Regions from separate parts of the Mus musculus genome. Here regions 1, 3, 4 and 5 are each reported to be linked to region 2. The links are microRNA targets in miRTarBase. Many come from high-throughput screens and were not tested one by one. Region 2 holds a microRNA gene; each other region holds the end of a gene's coding sequence.
The links. Region 2 holds the annotated microRNA mmu-miR-1199-5p (UCUGAGUCCCGGUCGCGCGG, at 2,708-2,727, opposite strand). A microRNA usually pairs through its seed, bases 2 to 8, with sites in the 3' UTR of a target mRNA and lowers its output. Matches are read on the target gene's strand: a 7mer-m8 pairs with bases 2 to 8, a 7mer-A1 pairs with bases 2 to 7 and ends in A, and an 8mer does both.

Region 1: miRTarBase lists Efr3b as a target of mmu-miR-1199-5p. Seed matches in the 3' UTR shown: 7mer-A1 at 1,797-1,803.
Region 3: the mRNA of Tmem263 is a reported target of mmu-miR-1199-5p. Seed matches in the 3' UTR shown: 7mer-A1 at 2,414-2,420 and 7mer-A1 at 1,705-1,711.
Region 4: the mRNA of Lrrc39 is a reported target of mmu-miR-1199-5p. Seed matches in the 3' UTR shown: 7mer-A1 at 1,062-1,068.
Region 5: the mRNA of Pphln1 is a reported target of mmu-miR-1199-5p. Seed matches in the 3' UTR shown: 7mer-A1 at 1,089-1,095.

What each region holds. Positions count from the first base shown.
Region 1 is chr12:3,962,736-3,966,792 of GRCm38, reverse strand. Efr3b (EFR3 homolog B) reads left to right here. Exons shown (of 23, transcript NM_001082483.1): 23 at 246-4,057. The coding sequence ends at 351. Among named protein-coding and RNA genes, the nearest start is that of Pomc, 9.8 kb to the right of the region's middle.
Region 2 is chr8:84,008,887-84,012,952 of GRCm38, forward strand. It overlaps Mir1199 (microRNA 1199), which reads right to left and starts at 2,747; the gene lies at 2,629-2,747. It overlaps Misp3 (MISP family member 3), which reads right to left and starts at 2,834. Exons shown (of 3, transcript NM_001291292.1): 1 at 2,255-2,834; 2 at 1,825-1,886; 3 at 1,342-1,606. The coding sequence starts at 2,798. The coding sequence ends at 1,592.
Region 3 is chr10:85,114,034-85,118,090 of GRCm38, reverse strand. Tmem263 (transmembrane protein 263) reads right to left here. Exons shown (of 3, transcript NM_001013028.2): 3 at 344-3,683. The coding sequence ends at 3,397. Among named protein-coding and RNA genes, the nearest start is that of Mterf2, 12 kb to the left of the region's middle.
Region 4 is chr3:116,580,809-116,584,865 of GRCm38, forward strand. Lrrc39 (leucine rich repeat containing 39) reads left to right here. Exons shown (of 9, transcript NM_175413.4): 9 at 413-2,336. The coding sequence ends at 477. Trmt13 (tRNA methyltransferase 13) reads right to left here. Exons shown (of 12, transcript NM_030016.3): 11 at 1,686-2,115; 12 at 1-802. The coding sequence ends at 604. Among named protein-coding and RNA genes, the nearest start is that of Sass6, 12 kb to the right of the region's middle.
Region 5 is chr15:93,488,546-93,492,602 of GRCm38, forward strand. Pphln1 (periphilin 1) reads left to right here. Exons shown (of 9, transcript NM_175363.4): 9 at 429-3,368. The coding sequence ends at 623. Among named protein-coding and RNA genes, the nearest start is that of Pphln1, 92 kb to the left of the region's middle.

The sequences.
Region 1 (4,057 bases), not on the chromosome of region 2:
GGGGGTCACCACAACATGAGGGACTGCATTAAAGGGTGGCAGCATTAAGAAGGTTGAGAACCGCTGCTGTAGAGCCTATACAGGGAGTTTTGACTGAGCTGAAGATCATAGAACATCTTGAAAATCTGGGAACTCGTGGAGTGGCATGCATTTTAAAGAGAAACCAAAACCAGCTGCTGTGTTCAGTTGCACCAGGGTAGGACCCCAGCTCTTGGTTCCTACCTCTCTCCTCTGTGTGTCTCCAGGCCCCCTCCAAGCCCTTCAGGAACCATCAGCGCAGCCTACGGCCAGCCGCAAAACCACTCCATCCCTGTCTATGAGATGAAGTTTCCTGATCTGTGTGTATACTGAACTCCAGGAGACAGAGCTCCTTAGAGGACACAGTCTGCAAGAGGACCACCCCCCTGCTCACTCTCACCTTGGAAATCTAGCTGGGATGGCTAAGAACTTGTCACCTTGGACAGTGAGCAAAAGGTCCTCTCTGGTCCTCTGTGGTCCTCCTTCCTCCTTGTCGTCTTCCGTGAGAAGAGTCCAGCCACCTCTCCTCTGGGCTAATAAGCATCTGACCTGTCTTCTCTTGTATCAGCCAGGGACAGAGAATCACAAGGACATCTCCATTGAGAAGCAGAAGGGCCTGGGAAGCCTCCATTGGGGATGTGTCTATGAGGGAGTGTCAGCCACTCCCAAAGAAAGGAGCCTGATATCCACATGGTTGGTCAAAGGAGGGCAGAGGTGGCACCTGGGGAAATGACCCTGTGAAAGCTCAGAAGTGATGTCTGCTCTCGCCTCTTAAGTCTTGGTTGTCTTACCCAGCATCCCGCCTACTCTCTAGTTGTCTGCATTTCTTTTTCTACTATTAATCAATGCTGAGGACTTACAGCCAGAGCTGGGGACAGACACTGGAGCCAGCAAGGCTAGCAGAAGAGCTGGGGATGGAGAGGGGCTGGGTCTCCCAGACTGGGTGGCAGCTTCAGCAAAGCACGAGTGTGGTGAGTCTGTGTCCTGGCTGCGTAGCATCTTCCCACATCTCTGTCCAGAGGAAGCTTGGGGTGGGTCTTCTCTGGTTCTCTCTCTTCTGGATGTTTCCTAGTTGTTAAGTTTGGTCCCTGATGTCTTTGTTTCCACAGCCTCTGGGATGAGAGAAAGCTGAGCAAGCTAGCTGGTTCTAGGTGGCTGGAGAGGGGGGGAGGAAGTGCCAGGGCCCTGAGGCCTGTCTGCATCACTTCCTCTGGAAGATGCTCCCAGCAGTAGTGAGGGCTTGAGAGAGAGGCAGGCAGTTGAGCAAGTGGCACTTTAGAATTTGGGGAAAGAAAGATTTAACAACTAGGATTGAAAAAATATTTTCCCTCTTTGGGCTAAGTCTGAGACACTGGGGATAATTGGCCTTGCTTGTAGCCTGGGTAGAGGTGTTAGGAATCACTTTGGCTTCCATTTTCCCTATGTGCTACCTCCCTGTCCCTATGTGACTTGGTGTGCTGGGAGCAGCTGACCCAGGACTGGGTGGGTGCAAACAAGGCCACTTGCAGTTATCTTGGTTTGGCCCTTTCCTGATGTCCCTCGTGGTGTCTCCGTGCCTCTCAGAATGCCTAGCAGTGGGCATACTCCACGGTCCAAGATAGTCCATCTTTTCCCTTTCAAACTTCCCATACGTTTTCCAAGCTGTTTTTCTCTCAGGACCAACATTGCTCCAGAGATTTTTGGTTTGGTTTGGTTTGGTTTGGTTTTTTTCGAGACAGGGTTTCTCTGTGTAGCCCTGGCTGTCCTGGAACTCACTTCGTAGACCAGGCTGGCCTTGAACTCAGAAATCCACCTGCCTCTGCCTCCCAAGTGCTAGGATTAAAGGCAGAGATTTTGCTTCTTGTAAAGGGGAAGTGGTTCTGTGGTCTGCAGGAATCATTTCTAAGGTATGGTTGTAGGCAGTGTGGCCTGGGGTCATAAAGGAGAAGTTGAGCTCCTCGGGACCCTGCATAGTGACAGCCTGCTCACTAGGACAGGTGGCAACATTTTCCAGAATTAGGAGAACTTGAGCACATGTACTTTTCGTTGCATATGTGATAAATATCACAGATGGGGCACTCCTGACCCTTTCCCCAGAGTTTCCCATTTGTAATACAACTCTTTCCCATGTTCTCTGCACTGAGCTACGGGCTCACGGCTCCAGCATGGCCTGCATGATCTCAGGTCCCTGAGGACAACACCCCAACACCACTCACATGGCTTTGGAGCTGTGTGGCTACTGCTCAACCCAAGTTTATAAGCATGGCCTTGAAGGCAAGTTTAAGCATGAAGGCAAGTAACCTTTTAGAAACTAAGAAAATTTAAGCCTTGTGCTAAAAACTGTCTTTTTTCACTTGCCGGCCACATCCTCTATCCTCTGCTTAGCTAGAGTAAGAGTCCATTAGTTTCTTTATTGTTCCCCACTGATGTCATTGTCCACCCCTGAGACACCTTAACCCTAGTTGTGGATTGGGAGAGACACTTCCTTGGAGTCTTTTGAGAGCCAGCATCAGAACCAGATGCCTCCAGGCCCACACAGATATGTCTGTCTCTCACCTTGCCCTGGGAACAGAAGAAAGGCACAGCGTTCATGTCTGCAGAATCAATGGCTGCTCGGTCTAAGTATTTCTTTTTCTTCATGCCGTGGCTGTGTAGTAGGGACATGCTGCTTTTAGAGAACTGGTCACTTGTGTGCCCTCTTCTTGGTAGAATTGATTTAAATTTACATCCAGTAGGATACTGGGTTGCCTGTTGACAGGAAATGGAATCTGATCGTGACCAAGTATGCCTCAGAGTCAGGAAGTCTAGATGGTGGGTGCAGGAGGATCTGTCCCTCCATCACAAGGCAGGGAAAAGAAGCACAGCGAGTGGAGGCCGGGGAGCAGCCCAGTGCCCATGCTTTTCTAGCCCCTGGTGTCTGATCGCACTGTCTCAAATTCTGTTCTCTTTCCCTATTGTAAACCAGAATCCAAAGGAGCCAACAAACCTATTAAGGCCAAGCAGTCCCTACCCCACCCCCATGATCAAAGCACCCAGGGCTCTGGCCTAGAGAGTGACATCCTACTGACAGAATGTAGCAGGTGGGAGTGTGTTTAGGGTTAGGAGTTAACGTGGTTGACCATAAAAGTGTAAACAGTAGATTAAGAGAAAATGCCTGATCCAGAAGCAGCTGCTGTTTTCCTATGCTGAGTCAGTTTCTTGTTTTCTCTTGACTAAAATAGATGGTTTCATGACTCCTAAGTGGCCTCATCAGAAAACCTAGAAATGCCCCCTCTGGCTCCCACCTTCACGCAAAGCCGGAGAACGTAGGCTGGGACCAAGGACCCTGGTCAGAGCAGCCATATCCCATATGCTGCCTGTGCGTATGGGATATGTTACTGGTCTTGGTCCACACGATGCAGTTCAGCTGAAGTAGGATTGGAAAAGCCTTAAGACTCTTGACTTCCTGAAAAGAAGCCCCAGACTTCTTGAGGGTCCCTGGGTCGTGGTGCCTTCCAGTTGTCCTTTTGGTGTCATAGACCTGCCAACCTGCTACAGAGAAAGCTGCTAAGCCCTGTGGCTTAGCTGTGTTTGGGGCCTGGGGGAAAGGCAAGGTCTAAGCTGTGGGTCTGAACTTTGTGTTTAAAAGTAGATTTGGAGGTCGGGAAGGGGTCTGCTTTTTTTGACCTTCTCCAGCAAGCAGATTGCACCAAAGCAAGAATTCTGTCCTCGGAATCTGGGAATAAAATTTAGGGGAAACAGTCTGGTTTCTATGACCCTATAAAGCTGGGTCTTGTCTAAAGACTGCAGAGGGAAATCATGGGAGGCCCTGATCGTGATTCTGGGCACCAGCCTGGCTCCTCAGGGAGCACGGAGATCTTCTGAGCCCAGCACTTGCCCTTTCTGAACTCTTAATGACTGGAGTCTGGCACATGGAGTATAAAAGTGCACACCCATAGATGCTGCAGCCCATCATCTCAGTGTGTCCGAGTTTTTGAGACCTTCATGCCTGGCTGAGTGTGTGTATGTGTCAATGTCCGTGCATGTGTGTGATGTAGTTTATAGTTGCCAACATTGTATA
Region 2 (4,066 bases):
ATTGCAGAGGACCTGGGTCCAGTTCCCAACACCATCTCTGGTAGTTCACAGCTGTCTGTAGCTCCAGCTCTAGGGGGATCTAACAGTCTCTCTGGACTCTGAGGGCATCTGTATATCTGCACTCTCATGTACATACCCCAACAAACACACACCTATAATTAAAAATAAAGAGAGGTTGCTTGGCAGCTAAGAGTACTTTAGGAGGATCATGGTTCAGTTCTCAGCACTCACATGGAACTCTAGTTCCAAGGGATCTGACTCTCTTCTCACCTCTGCAGGCCCACACATACACATAGGCACACACATATACACACAGGCACACACACATACACACAGGCACACACACACATACAAGCCAACAAAACACTTATACATACAGCATGAATACAAAAAATAAATCTTTTAAAACTTTCTAGGTCACCCTCGACCACAAAGGGAATTTCAGGCCAATATGGGATATACGAAGCCACGGTTTTATCTTTTTTTTTTTTTTTTTTTGGTTTTTCGAGACAGGGTTTCTCTTTATAGCCCTGGCTGTTCTGGAACTCACTTTGTAGACCAGGCTGGCCTCGAACTCAGAAATCCACCTGCCTCTGCCTCCCGAGTGCTGGGATTAAAGGCGTGCGCCACCACGCCCGGCCTTTTTTCTATCTTTTTTTTTTTTTTTTTAAGCCACGGTTTTAAAAGAAACAAGCAAAGATGGTCACCAGAACACTTGCCAGGTCCTTGATCCTTCAACACCACCATTGGTATTTCTTTTTTTAAAATTATCCTTATTTCAATTTATGTGAATATGTGTGCATTTTGTGCGAATGGGTGCCATGTATGTTGAGATTTTCCTGGAGGAGAGAAGTGGACAATGGCTCTCCTGGACATAAGCAGTTGTGAGCCTCCCATGTAGATGCCCGGAACTGAACTCGGGTCATTTGCAAGAATAGCAAGCACTCCTTACCCTAAACCATCCCTCCAGCCACCCCTAGTATGTTTACACTATTGTTTATATCCCTAGAGCAGGAAATACAACTTCATAGCACCTCGGTCTAGCAGCTCCCTGAACACAGAATGGTTTTGGTGCCTATAAAAACTGACATCTGGATACCAGAGTGGAGTCTGTGGGCCGGTGAGCAACATTTTGCGTTCTCACCACCAGGGGGCAGTAGGGCCCTGGCCTCCAAGCCCGGGTCCGCAGTCAGTCCAGAACAAGGAGACCAGAGCGCGTTTTGAATTCCAACATTCCGGCGGGATCCTTGGGTGGCTTTTCCAAACGTTCTTCACCTGCCAGCCTCCGCCCACCCAGACTAAGGAGGACCCAGTAGAAAATAGCTTGCACTGAAGCCCAGGTAAAGGGAGGAGGAGTTTATTTTATGTTTCACTCATAGGTTTTGCAGGGTTTCCAAGGAAGACTAGAGAATTTTATGGAGAAAGGTGGTTAATTCCATAGTCAGTATCAAAGATGGGCTGGATTTCAAGTTGCCATTAAAGAAAGCTAGCCCTTCCCTCTCTAGGCCTTCTGCTGATCTGGAGAGTAACCCTACCCTGGTTCTCCAAAGGGTATGTTACTTCTGTCCGCAGGTCCCAACCTTCATAGACCTCAGGGTCTGCGCTCCTAGAAGGAAAAGGGGAAGAGAAAGAACACCCTCAGGGAGAAGTTTGGCCTCTAGGCCTCCACCTCCTCTTCACTCTCTGGATCGCGTCTAGGACTTTTGAGTTTGGGTTAGAGTGGCGCTCCAGGGGACCAAGAGGCACCTTCTCCCTCCACCCCAGTGCCCAGGTGCTGCAGGGAGGGCTGGGAGACCGACAAGCATCGGAAAGGGAGTCTCCCACCTTCTCAGAGGCCCGTCTCCGCGGAGGCCAGATCACCGACAATTTTCCATCTCCCCTGCTCGCTGTGGGGGAAGGAACACTCAGCCGCGACTGCCCCTCCTCTTGCCAGCTGGAGGATGGCCGCACCCCTTATATACATACAGGTGTGCACCCCTCTTCCCCATGAAGGCCTCCACCCAGTTCTGAGGACCCAGGAACAGGAATGAGGCAAACTCAATGTAGAGAGGCACCCGAGTACTACAGAGGACCCGAGAACGCCAGAAGTCAAGGTTCCAAGGTCTGATGGATGTGGGGATCCTCACTCCAGGAGTGGGAGTGAAGAAAAGAAGGTGAACCCCCAGGAGAATAGTTAAGGGTCTGCAAGCCTACAGATGAATGATCACTGGAGGTGGAGACAGCTGGAGCTCTAGGGCCCAGGGGGACCGCTTACGGGTGAGGCTCGGCGCTGGCTCCTGGACCTCGGCGTCGCCGTAGATGCTGCGCCGCTGCAACTGCAGCTCCCGCTCGCGCTCGCGCACTCGTCGCACCTCCTGCTCCAGCAGTGACGGGGCAACGAGCGGTGGCAACTGCCCCAGTACCGGACAGCCGTCCTGAACGGCGGGGTGCAGCCGGCCTCCGGTCTCTGGCTGCCTCTGCAAGCCAGCGCCGTCCTCCGCCGCAGCCTCAAAGAAGCGCTTGAGTTCGTCCAGCGGCTGCGGCCGCCGCCGGGCGCTAGGCTCCGGAACCGCGGGGCTCGCCAGCGCCGCCTGCCTGTGAGCCTCGCGTTCGATGTCCCGTTGCATCTTCGCGCCCGCCCGAGCGCGCTCCAGGGCGCGCGGCAGCGGAGTACCGGAGCCGGGCCGACTGAGCACCGGCCGCACGCGCAACTCAATGAGTTCCTCGCCCGCGCGACCGGGACTCAGACCCCGGCTCCGGCGCAGGCTTTCCTCCCGCTCGCAGCTGCGGCGGATTTCGCGCTGGATGGGCGTCTCCATCTGCAATTCCGCCGGCGCCGGTTTGGATGCCGCGGGCTTCGGTAGAAAACACACCTGGAGGCCTCTGAGCCGAGACAGGGGCACAACTGCCCCAGTACCTCCGTTATACTAGTGCCAGGCGGCCCAGCTGTGGACCGCCCGGGCGCTCGGTCCGGTGCTCAACTGGCACCTGCGGGACCTGGCTCTCTGGCTCCAGAGTCTGCAAGTGCTCCTCTCCAGAGGTTTCCAGGACCTCACTGCCTCCCCCAGCAGCCCTCGGTGCCCTGGCTCTGCGGCTCCCGGAACACGTAGCCTTCAGGCGACCCCAGGACTCCACTCTCGGACACCCGAGGACATGGATGTTTGGAGTTAGGCGCCCTTTGAAAATTTTAGTTCTCAGAGCCGAATTGAGATGCCCAAATAGGTAGGACACGGTGCCCTGTGCAGTACCTGTAGTTACAGCCGCCGCCCGAGGTTCATAGGCGTCGCCAGCACTCTTCTTTGACCCGCCTCTGGCCTCCAGGAACATCCCCTGGGGGCAGGACTGGGCACCGCCCCCGTCACCTGCCAGCTGGATTCGAGTGGCCCTGGACCCGCCCTATGGGCCAGGGCGCCTCCACTGCTCTCCGGATTCCCGCCACCTGAACACACGGGTTGACTGAAGGGGTGGCTTCTTCGGAAAGGGCTTCCCTGAACTCACTACCCAGGGGGTATGTGTCGCCCTTTCCCTCTGGTACCACGCTGGCATTCTGGGGTCTTTTTTTTTTTTTTTTTTTTTTTTCATCACTTTCCGGAGACCTGACCTCTAGCGGAGCGCCGCGCTGATCGCTGAACCACGGCCTCCTTACAGAGTGTTTCCCCGGTCGTCTTTCGCTGACCTCACTAGTCTAGGTCAGCAAGTGCCAGCCTGCGGCCAGCGACACCACTCTCCTTCCCCCCGCCCCCTATCCCGTGATCTCCGGGCCTTCTCTGCACACTGATCGCTGAGGCAACACAGCTCGAGTCCAGCCCGAGGGTCGCCCGGGGCCGCCGCACTGGGTGCTGCTGCTACCCGGGGCTGCTCAGCTCTGTCTGGTTTGCAGCGGCGCTGCCGCCACTCAAAACCCTGGGGCAGATTCCCCACCCCCACCTTCCAGAAAAGCCCGCAAGGCATTGGCAGCCAAGTGTCCAGCTAGAATGAGCGGTGTTTGAGGGCACAGACATTACAGGACTTCCGGGCCTCAGCCGAGCAATTGTGGCTGGAAGGCGGTCAGCTTGGACCAGTTTGCCCAGGAGGCCCAAGATGGGGC
Region 3 (4,057 bases), not on the chromosome of region 2:
CTAATGAATTTGGAATAGGGCAATCACTGGTTGACTTATCCAGAGTGACTGTTGGAGTAGGGAAGTGAGAAGGCATTGTAGAGTGGGTTGAAGGGCTCAGGACACAGCACGTGGGACATTAGAACCTAAGTTAGGTTTAACTCCTAGAACTCACAGAAGAAACGCCAGCGTGAAGGGGCCACGGGATCCTTAACTACATACAATAGAAAAGTGTTCCCTAGGTCTAGCTCTTCAGCTTTCACACTTTAGTATGCCCAAGAATAACCCACAAAGGTTGTTAAAGAGACTGAACAAACTGAGATGACGAAATCTAGACATTTGAATTTTCAGACTTTTAGTTTTTGTGTTTGCACTTTACTGTTGTGTCTACATCCATATCATGTTTGTAAAGTATCACCAAAAAAATTTACTGCAGCACACCCTGAACTGTGTAATCTTAACTTTTAAGATCATCCTGTTTACAAAATCCCTTTATTTCTGTAGATCTTTATGAAACATTCCATCTTTGTAGATCATAGTCCTTTATTATCAGATTCAGGTGTTCTTTCCCATCCCTTTAATACAAAAATCCCCGCATTATTCAATCAGGTATTTTCATCTGACATTTCACTAAATACAATATTCATATCAACATTGTTAGATCAGTCATTCAAGTGGGTCACACAAATTTATCTTCACTGTGCCAAAACTCAAAAATGGAGTCGAATAACAGATACCTCCAGGTGTATACAACAAAGTAAACTAGTCCTGTTTAACAGGTCAAATTGCTAGTCTACATAAACTAGAAGGGACTCAGGTATATAGCTGTACACATCATCAAATGGCAAGTTCATTTCAGTTAGAACTACAGCTACCTGTATATTTGTACAGTTCTCTGCTATCGTAAAAGCCCCTCTGAACCACATTATACTTTAGCATTTAAGACAATTGAGAAAATTTACCAGTTGGCTTTTCTGTAGCAGAAATTAATTAGCCATTTTTCCTCAAGTGATTTTAAAGACAAGCAAAGTTGAAAATAAATATGCAAGCATATAGTATACTAAGCCTACACTTAGACTAATTCAAGTACAAAGCATAGTAGAACCTCTAAGTTAGAAATACAAACCAGATATGAATCAATAAATTCTTCTAAATAGCAGGAATCAATTTCTCCAATACCATTATTTAGATCACTGAGAATGGGTCTATTAATTTTGGAACTTTAAAAATACCATTTGTTAACACATTTCACCAAATGTATCAACAAATGTCTCTTAAATGATATTGCATGAAATAAATGACCATTTAATTCCTTCTAAATTTAATTCAGTGATTTTAAATTTTGTATAAACAAAGTTTCAAGAACATCTGTAGATTTGCTTGACAGTCCTGCTGTTATTTATGAGTGCTTTTTAAATTTATATTTTTATTCAACTGTTGGCCCACATTACTAATAGAATCCTCTTAAGAGTTCCAAACATTTGAACCTACATATTCAGGTGATCTTCTTCTGGTCTCAGGAACACTACATTTTGACTTACACCAAGGCACCACTCCCTTCCTCTCTCCAGGGAGTTAGAAGGGGCAGAATGAAGACAGAATTCTAGTTTTAGGTATAAAGAAAATTAAGAATTTTTTTCAGGCTTAGATTGTAAGATAAATGCCAAATATATGTCACTTATAAATTTCCATGAAACTAAGCATTAAGACAAAAAGAAATGAACTTCTGAGTTACATTCTGTGAAAATGAATATGTTATGATAACACATTAAGACACAACACACTTACCATCCATATCAAAAACCTTCAACTCCCTGCCTGAAACTGGCTTGAGAAATGGTATGTCTACAGCTGCTTTAAAGGGCTATAAGAGAACATGTTTTAAAGCTATGAACGAATTTCACTACGAATGCAACTCAGTTGGTACAGTACTTGCCTACTATGCATGCAGCCCTGGGTTCCATCCCCAACATCACATAAAGCAAGCATGGTATCTCATGCCTTAAGCCCAGCACTTGGGAGGTGAGTGCAGAATTAGAAGCGCAAGAATATCCTCAGCTACATATCCAGTTCAAGACCAGCCTGGGCTTTAGAAGACCCCATCTCAAAGAAAACAACAACAACAAAAAAAAAAAAAAAAAAAAAACCCTAAATACGTCATTGAAAGCATTTATCTATTTTTTTTAAATTCAAAGCCAATGTATAGAGCCCATCTCATTCATTTGAAGAGTCAATCCTCATATATTAATGGTTGATTTTATTGTATTTTTAAAGGAATTACTACTAATAATTTAAGACATCCTAAAGAAAGAATAAGCATGAAGGATTATCTTAGGTTACTAGGATAATTATAAGAACTTAAAAATTAATATTTGCCGGGTGTGGTGGTGCACACCTTTAATCCCAGCACTCGGGAGGCAGAGGCAGGTGAATTTCTGAGTTCGAGGCCAGCCTGATCTACAAAGTGAGTTCCAGGACAGCCAGGGCTACACAGAGAAACCCTGTCTCGAAAAAACAAAACAAAACAAAAAAAAAAATGTATTCCTTCTCAATATGAAACTTCCCACATAGCTTTTGATGAGCTAAGAAATGTTCCATAGATACTGTGGGGTGTATTAAGGATGGGAGCATGAATCCAACTACTAAAGCACATTTCGTGTTAACTACTCACAACAGCTGATAAGCACTCTTACCCACTGACACCAGGAAACTCCTTTACCTCAATACTCCTGAGATTTTTAAGAGGGAAACTAATTTTACAACCTTTGAAAGAGTTCACTGATAATTATAAGAACTGCACATATTTAAGATTATTAGAAAAGATGTTTTCTTTTGTAAGGCATCAATGATTAAACAAACAGAATGCTTATCTAACCAAAACAAACAAAAAAAAAAACAACAGTATCATAAAAACATTTGTCTTCTAAACTTTTGAATTCCTGCTACTTTTTTGCCAGCTTAAATAAGAATGCCTCTTGGCCTAAACCACTATAGTTATAAAAAACTAAGACATCTGAAACTATTAGGCACATCAAAGGTACAGTTTATGTAGTTCGAGTCCCTTTGTAAGGGTCGTGTGGGTTACCTGGCACACTGTACACATGGAACTGTAAAATCATCTACTAAGTTGAACTTTCACATTTTTTAGTCAAACTGAAAGACTTAGAGCAAATATTTAAACATACCATATCTTCAGTTACAACTGAACAAGTGTAACATTTTACCAGATAAAAAGCTGAACTTAGGGATGAGAAGCCTTCAGACACTGTGGTAGTACTGGACTCTTCTTGTTTTAGATGCAGCCAGTCACCAATACTTTCAACACAGCAGTTTAGCGGTTGACTTGGTTGTAGTCTGTAATTGAACTGTTCAATGCCACTGGCATCATATGCTGTGGAGAGCAAGTGTACTTCTCTTTCAATCAGACTTGTCTTTCTTCTTTCCTGATAAGGGCACTTTGTTTACAACTGCAGACCCAACAGCTGTCACACCTCCAGCCACAGCAGACACGCCTCCTTTCACCAGCCCTATTCCCATGGAAGGCACAGTTGTAACAGCTGTTTTGGTCACTTCCAGACTCTTTCCACCAATCCAAGCCACACCACCAATGGTGGCACCAACAGCTCCCTTTGTAACACTGAAGATACCTCCAGTCACACGAGACAACATTCCTGGCTGCTGCTGCGGGTGATCTTTCATTGACCCTAATGAGAGACATATGATAGTCAATATCAAGTCTTTCTAAGAACAGTTCAAATCATTAAATAACCTTTCTCACAACTAGCAGCTTAATCTGATAAACTCTGTTATACTGAGTAAGTAAGGAGCTCTTGCCTGAGTACAGCTGCAGATGCCTTATTTAATACCTTGGTGCACAACTAAGTCTTCGAAGCAAGGTCTTGTTAATGTAATCCACACTTTCCTCAAACTCACAATTTTCCTACTTCTACTTCACAAACACTGAGATTATAGGTATACACCACCACACATAGTGTTGTGTAGCAATTTCCTCTGAGATTAGAATCTCCCATTTTGAAGGGAAGCTGATTAAGACACAGAATATTTTATTAAAAGGAAG
Region 4 (4,057 bases), not on the chromosome of region 2:
AATTCTTAAATTTCTAAATTTGTCTGTGTTCAAGATAATTACAATTATTCTTTCTAGACCTATATTGAAAAAAAAAAAAAGCCTCACTCAGGCGTGGTGGCGCACGCCTTTAGTCCCAGCACTTGGGAGGTAGAGGCAGGCGGATTTCTGAGTTTGAGGCCAACCTGGTCTACAAAGTGAGTTCCAGGACATTGAGGGCTACACAGAGAAACCCTGTCTCGGGGAAAAAAGAAAAAAGAAAAAAAGAAAAAAAGAAAAAAAAAAAAGCCTCACACTCAGATTGATCCTTGTTATAAATTTATACTGTTTATTATAACTGGAGCTCAAAAAATGAAAAAAATCAAATAAAACCTTTACCAGATTAATACACAGAGTTCACACTATAATTATATACTGGTGTTATATCTTTCAGAAGACCAAGTCAACTGTCTGACTCAAATGCCAAGCTCTATACATTCTGATGGAGAAAGTAATTGAAAGAGCCCTGCTGAAAAGGAATACTTTGACTACTTGGTGAATATTTTTGTGAATATCGAAATATAATTTAAAAATAATTTAAATTTTTTTGTTTGTGGAAGACAAACGTCACGTTCATGTTTCCTTTCATTGATGATGTTTTTCCTGCGATGACGGATGAGCTGGTACGGCAGTTAATAATACGTTTTCCAGAGACACCAATGGGTCCGTATAGTACTGTAAGGCAGGACTGAAGCCTTTCTGCTGTAAATACTGGAGTCTGCCTTGGTCAATCAGCAGTTTACAAAGATGTCCTATTTTCTTCTTTTCTTCAACAGTAAGAATCCTACATGGAATAAGCACACAAAAATTTAAAGTTTGGTAAAAGTTCATACCAAGTTTGGCCACTGCCATTTACGAAGCTGCTAACTAGCCAACAGCACGTACTAGGCGCTATGTCTGATGCTTCTAAGACGCCTTTTCTTCTTTTTAAGATTTATTTATTTATTTTGTTTATATGAATAACTGTCTTCAGACACACCAGAAGAGGGCATCAGATCCCATTACAGATGGTTGTGAGCCACCATGTGCTTGCTGGGAATTGAACTCAGAAACTCTGGATGACCAGTCGGTGCTCTTGACCACTGAGTCATCTCTCCAGCCCCATCTAAGACTTTTCTTTATGATCACAATTAAAATATGTTTTAGTTTATTCTAAAATTAGAATGTAAGCTATATTTTCTAAATTTTTGATAACAGTCATCTAAGGAAAAAAAAAAAGAATCCTTCTCCTTCAGTTTTACTTTGTATACTTGATCTCAGCCAAAAGACTAAGAAACAACCATTCGGTTTTATTTGCTATGGTTTCTCCTGGCCAAGGTCAATCAGTGTGAAAATATTCAATGGAAAATTCTGAAAATGAACCATTGGTAGTGGCATTCTGAGTAGCATGGTGAATCATGGGCCACCCACTCCTTCCTATCCGGGGAATGAACCTGTGCCTCACACATGAGCATCCTTAGCACAGCCACACCGTGCTGCCCACTTGCTAGACGTTGTGCAGCCATCTTGACTACCAGATGGACAGAGTAGGTAAGTGCAATGCTAGTGTGTGGGGTTCTGTTTTATCTACGGTTCGAGGCATCTGTGCAGTCTCACCCACAGGAGGACTAGTTTACGGGGATAAAGTATCTCCCTGTAGCATGGTGTTTGTAGCTGTCGTCACTTACCCAGGCAAACTGTCAGTGTTGCCATCTGTGAGTCTGTCTCCTCCATCATCGTGCTCTTCATTCTCATCCCTTTGAGCATCTTTTCTCTCTGGAGTAACATCCGAGCCTTCCAACGATGTCCTCATTCCACACGTTGCCCAACTACTCATTCTCTGGAAATAGTAGAACTCTACCGCCCCAAGTCCAAGAGCCTTGAAATACTCTTTGCCCACATAATGTCTCCAGTCACACCTGTGGTGACAACAGAGCGCAATCACAATGCCAGCCACCGGGGTCCATGTCTCTGGGACATCTTTTTCACTTCCTTCCTTGGCCAAAGTGTTACTTTCTTTTTCTGTCTTATCATTCTTTATGCGTTTGGCTAAAGGTTCTTCATCCTTTTCCTCAAAACTGGCAGCATAGGTTTCAACCAAACATCGTAATGCAACATCTGCAAACACAATCATGTGCCCCCACCAAACCGCATCATCTTTAAAGTTCAGTAAGCAGTATGGCTAGTGCAAAACATTCTTAACACACAAACCAGCAAAAATCTACTTAGCTATATACTGTAACAATTCTACCAGATATTATACATTTTTCTCAAATTTTCCATCTTAATTTTTCTAGTGATTTATTTGCCCAATAAAATTATTTTAAATAAAATTAAAACAAGCTTAAGTCTTATGATTTGAAAAATTTCTGTCCAACTATTTGCATTGTCTTGCATTTCTCCTATTCTAGCTACAGTGAAGAAACCCCAAAGACAGAAATGAGGAAGGTAATTTCACTTAGAACACTGACCCGGGCTGGAGAGGGTAGTTTTTTGGTTTGTTTCTGTTTTGTTTTGAGATAGGTTCTGTATAGCTGATGCGGATCTCAAATTCCTGATCCTCTGCGTGCATCTCCTGGTGTGTTGGGGTTGCAGATGTGTGCCAGCACACCTGTCTAAGATGCTAATCTTGAAATGCAGGCTGATCACAACAAATAGTGATGAATTGAAAAGTTGAGAAAGGGAGATTCCAATGTGGAAAACAGGCTGAATAGCTTTCCTGCACACCAGCATTTGTTCAGCAAGTATTTGCTAAATGCCTTGCATACACAAAACACGGAGGCTGCAAGCACTACAACTGCCATGCTAGGGGCGGAAGAGATGGCGGTGGCTGAAAGCTCTTGCTGCTCTTGCAGAACAGCCAGGTTTGGTTCCCAGCACACACAGGGTGGCTTAAAGCTGCTCAGGGGTTCTAGTTCCAGGGGATCCAGCACCCACTCTGGCCTCTGTGGGCACCAGATATGCACGCATTGCACTTCCATGCATGCAGATAAAACACCCATACACATAAAATAAAAATAAATATATATATTAAAAACAAAATAAGGCTTCCAAACTTCCAGACAGTATAGCTGGCAATATTGGAAAGATCGCAAATGTATGCTGTAAAACTTCTATTTTCTCTGATTAGATTGTCATATCATACCAATTACCTACAAACAAATGTAGTTCTACAATTTCTTACCCCATGATATACAATGGATGTATCTTACCTGATTTTTTAATCATGCCAACAAGCATTATTGGTAACTATTATTTGATAAAGTGATAGCTGATTTGGTAATTTCATGGTCTGTCTGTGTCTCTGTCTTTTTTTTTCCCTTCTCTGTCATGAGAGAGTGGACCTTATGTTGCCCAGACTGTGGAGGGACTCAAGTGTGACTGATTTAGCTCAGCTGATCCTCCTGCTTCAGCTTCCTGAGCATCTGGGAGTCTGAGTATGCCACTTCACCCACGTCTATTAACTACTATTTTCTAACAAAATATATTTTCTGTTTAATTTACATTTGACTTAAACATAATTTTAAGAAGTGAGAATAATCAGAAAAAATATTAGAAGGACTAAGTTATTTCAGAAACAAAGATTATTAGCAAGCTCAAACTCTTTCATAGTGACCTTATGACCTTCTTCTTAGAAGGCATAAGGAAGCAGCAAGCTGGTGGCCAAGGTCATTCAAATATTCAATGAGTCCCTCTATATTGCGTTATATTAGCATGTACTTCATTCTTGGAAAAAACTCCCAGCACAGTGTAGTGATTAGACATACAAGCAGATAATTAAAAAAACAAGCAAAAGCTACGGGGAGTTTGTCCTGACGACACTAAGGGCGTAAAGCTGAGCTGAGGGATGAGCAGACACTGGACCAGTTCTTCGAATGGGTGACAGTGGAATTCTAGGAATGGCTGGAGCAATATGGCATTTAGGAAAATAAACACGGTCCACACTAATCAACAGTAAACCCAGAGGCAGAGTGACTGAGTTTCAAGTCATGGATGGGTCTGAATATTAATACTTCAAGCACAGGGAGCCAAAAGTGATGGAAGAAATGGAAGGCAGGGT
Region 5 (4,057 bases), not on the chromosome of region 2:
GTCTTACGATTGTAGTAGTTCTGGCTGAGAGAGAATTTGCTATGTAGACCAAACTGGCCTCCAACTCAGAGATCCTTCTGCCCCTCCTGGGATTAAATGTGTGGCTGGCACGCTGATGACAAAGCCTTTCTTCTCTTAACAAATGAGTGAGGATTTTTTTGCCTTTCTTTTGTCCTTACCTTCTTTACCTAACCCAAGTGTAAAGCCCTGTGCTTTTCTCAGTGATGGGTGCGTCTGTCTGTCTGTCTGCCTGCCTGCTTATTCAGTTGTGAGCTGATACCCAAGGCATGTGGCTGTGCTGATACAGGGGAGGTTCAGCCATCTTACAGGTTTAGCTCCCTTACAGGTTTCAGCAGCTGAGTTCTACCGGCTCAGCCAGCCATGGGCTTAATTCACTCATCTAATCCAAATGTGTTTTGCCATCCTAGGTTTACCGACAAGACTGCGAGACTTTCGGGATGGTGGTGAAAATGCTGATTGAAAAAGATCCCTCATTAGAAAAGTCTGTCCAGTTTGCACTGAGGCAGAACTTACACGAGATAGGTGAGCGCTGCGTGGAAGAGCTCAAGCGTTTCATTACTGAGTATGACAACTCTGCTCAGGACTTTGGAGACCCCTTTTAGAAGAAGAAGTACCCAGGTCAAAAGGTTTTCTTAGATTGTTTTTTTCTCCTTGGATTGTGTAAATCCTTACTATTTTGTGATGAAGAGAAATACTTTATGATAGCTAAGCACATTTCTAGTACTAAATAAACATCTACAATAGCTTAAAGTATCTTAATTAGAATGTTTCCCCTATGTGTAGAATATTCTACTCTATCTTCATACATTTCCTCCCTCCAAAAATAATATTCAGTTACTTTAATGTTCAAAAGAAAAAAGCAGCTCTGGAGAGCAGCTCCCTGTATTTAACCCATGTTTCATAGTCTTCCATGACGTCTATGGTCATCTTTTTGCATACCGTGTAAAGGTTGTCTTTTTTATTTTGTTTTGTGTTTTTTGTCTTTTTGTTCTTTTTTTTCGAGACAGGGTTTCTCTGTGTATCCCTGGCTGTCCTGGAACCCACTCTGTAGACCAGGCTGGCCTCTAACTCAGAAATCCGCCTGCCTCTGCCTCCCAAGTGCTGGGATTAAAGGCGTGCGCCACCACTGCTGTATTCAGATGTTGATTTCCAGCTGAATACTCTTTGGTATTGTTATTTGAATTGCTAAGCACCTTCATTGTAGTTTGTAAACTCTCCTCTCCACCACCTTCTGATTGGTAAACACTGAGGGCCTGTAGGTCAGGAAAGGAAAGGCAGGGCAGGGCAGGGCATCACAAAAGGAAGTCTGACTTTCAGGGACTGAAAGATAACGGGCCATGTGGCAAACATGGACCAAAATAAATGGATTAGTTAAGCCATAGGAGCTAGTTGGGAAGAAGCCTAAGATATAAGGCCTTGGCATTCATAAATAATAAAAAGTCTCTGTGTTATTGTTGGGAGTCAGGGGTCGAAACAGTCTAACAGTAGTGATCATTTGGTCTCAGGAGTTTAATTTGTAGTTAAGATCATTCCAGATTGCATACAATTAGTGGTACCGTTAGCATTTTGAGTTGGTGATGTCAAAATATGCTGTCTTAATGAGTTAGAACTTTGCTATCATTCAATATTTGCTTTGAGAATAATTCTTATTCAATATACAAAAAAATGCACTTGAAAATCTGTAAGGATCTGTTAGAACAAAATCTTCTCCCAAGTCAGTAAACTTGGTTCATCTCTTCTATGAAGTGCTCTTAAGGCTTCTACCTGCTCTCTCTAGACAATATTATGGACTAACAGGAGAGGTAATCTGAGATGCAAGATGAATATTAAGTTGAGATGGTCTCAGAAACCCATCTCATGGGTATAATAAAAAAATTAGAATATACAGAGCACTTAAGTTATGTTTTAGGCCCACATTATATCAAAAACGGGACCTGACATGGCACTCATGCTTGGGATTAAGCTATAGATTACTCTGTCCATCTCCGTGATCTCAGTTCTGTGGGCGTAGAGGGGCTCACTGCTCACAAGTGTCCTCAGAACACACTGAGGCCAGCACAGCTGCCAGCAGGTCCTGAGTGAGCCACTGAATCAGTGAAGAGACACTTAGGATCTCTTGCTCACTTCCTGGTCCCTGGTTCACTGAGGCAAAATACTAAATTTGTGACATTAGGCACCTTAAAAAAAATCACTGCCCAATCAAATTATCTACCTTTTTTTGGGGGGGGGCGAGGGGGGTCAGGGTCTTACAGTATAGTCCTAGCTAGCCTGAAAATCTCTGTGTAGACTAGGATAGCCTTAAACTCACAGACATCTCCCCACCCCTACCTCTTACATGCTGGCGTTAAGCCCACGGGCCACCCTGCTCAGCATCCTTTTGTTTGTTTTCATTTTCATTTTTTTTCTGTCCTTATTACTTTTTGATTCGAGACAGGGTTTTGCTGTGTGTCCTAGGCTGGCTTCAAACTTAACTGCTCTGGCCTTTAGCTTTCGGGATTCCTGCCTCAGCTTTCCTGAGCCCCAATGCTTGCCGTGACCATTGAGTGGCCTCTATGATCCTGTCTGCGGATATCCCTAAACCACATACAGATTATACTTAAGTAGAAATAGAAGAATGGTTAATTTTAATGAGCCCTAAAATAGATGTGTGAAGATTTGTATTATGCCATTTTGAAAATTTAAAACTAATTGACGACATGTTTTTTGTTTTGTTTGTTTTCTTAAATTCCCCAAGTGAGAACACTTGTACGTTTTGGCATTGAGTCTTTCCATCCCTTTTCTGCGCACACTCCCCTTCTGAGCGTGTGCTGCGCAATGCCGGTCACTTCAGTAATACCACAAGCGATTTTCCTTCTTCCCTTCCACTAATTCTCAGCTCTTTAAATCAAGTTATTAACAAGCATACGTATAAAATTTGAGGAGCTTCCAAGGCAAAAAAAAAAAATGTTCACTTGGTAGAAACATTCATTTAAAAAGAGAATCTTACTGATAAATTATTTAAGTGAAGGCCCAGCCAGTCATCCTCTTCCTTCCACTCACACTGGGCCTTCGAAGCTGTGTCCAGCTTGCCGTCCGCGCTGTTCTGCCAGGCTCCACAGTGTTAAATGTTTCCTTCATCTTTGTTTTTTTTTAAATGCCTTTTGACATCTAAAATTCATGTGTACTAGAGTATGTTTTATAAAATGTTTTTGATTCTACGGAGACATGTTTGTAAGTTATCCATTGTTTTTCAATAGACCTGATTCATATGATAAGTTCTCATTGCCTCACCATAAGGCCTTGATGATCAATATGGGGAAAGCAGATACTGTAAATGCAAAATAAAGCATCCGATACTAAGTAATAAATTCGTCTCCTCTCGTTTTTCCTGGTTCCTGTGACTGAAGTGTAAGCGTTTTCATCTGTGCCTGCACGATGACTCTAGCAGTCAGCTCACCACTCGACAGCCAGGTAGAAGTCGGAGGATCGAGGCGCTGTTAACTTGGACGGTTTCTGGAATTTTGATGTTACAGAAGCCAGTCCTCATAGTGCCTGGCCCAGTGACACTAAGTAATTACAGAGCTGAACTTACGAGGCTGAATGTCTTCTTCCTGAGCTGTCATCACTCCTGCACAGCAGTAACCGGGCTCTCTGTACCAGTCTGGTTCACAGCTTGGCATGCTATAGGTATTGGTGCTTGTCAGCCTAAAGCTGACTTCACCTTCAAGTGAAACTTGAGAAATAGGATTCATTCAGACTGAGAGGTGTGAGGAGCTCAGAAGGAAAGGTTGGTATGTCCCTTTGTGGCCAAAGTCAGTTTTCACTGCTGTGATAGGATTTCTCTTTTTAATCTTGATTTTAGGCATGTGGGCCCTCAGCTACTGGGCTCCACCATTTTTGGATCTGTGGTAAAGCGTGCCTTCATGGTGGGGAACTTGTAGCAGAGCAGAATTGCTCCATATATAGCATAGAGCCCGGGGGAGGGGGGGGGGTGAAGTAGACACCTGTGGGCCTCTTCCTTCTCCTCTGGATACCACACCCAGGGAGTGTCTTCCCC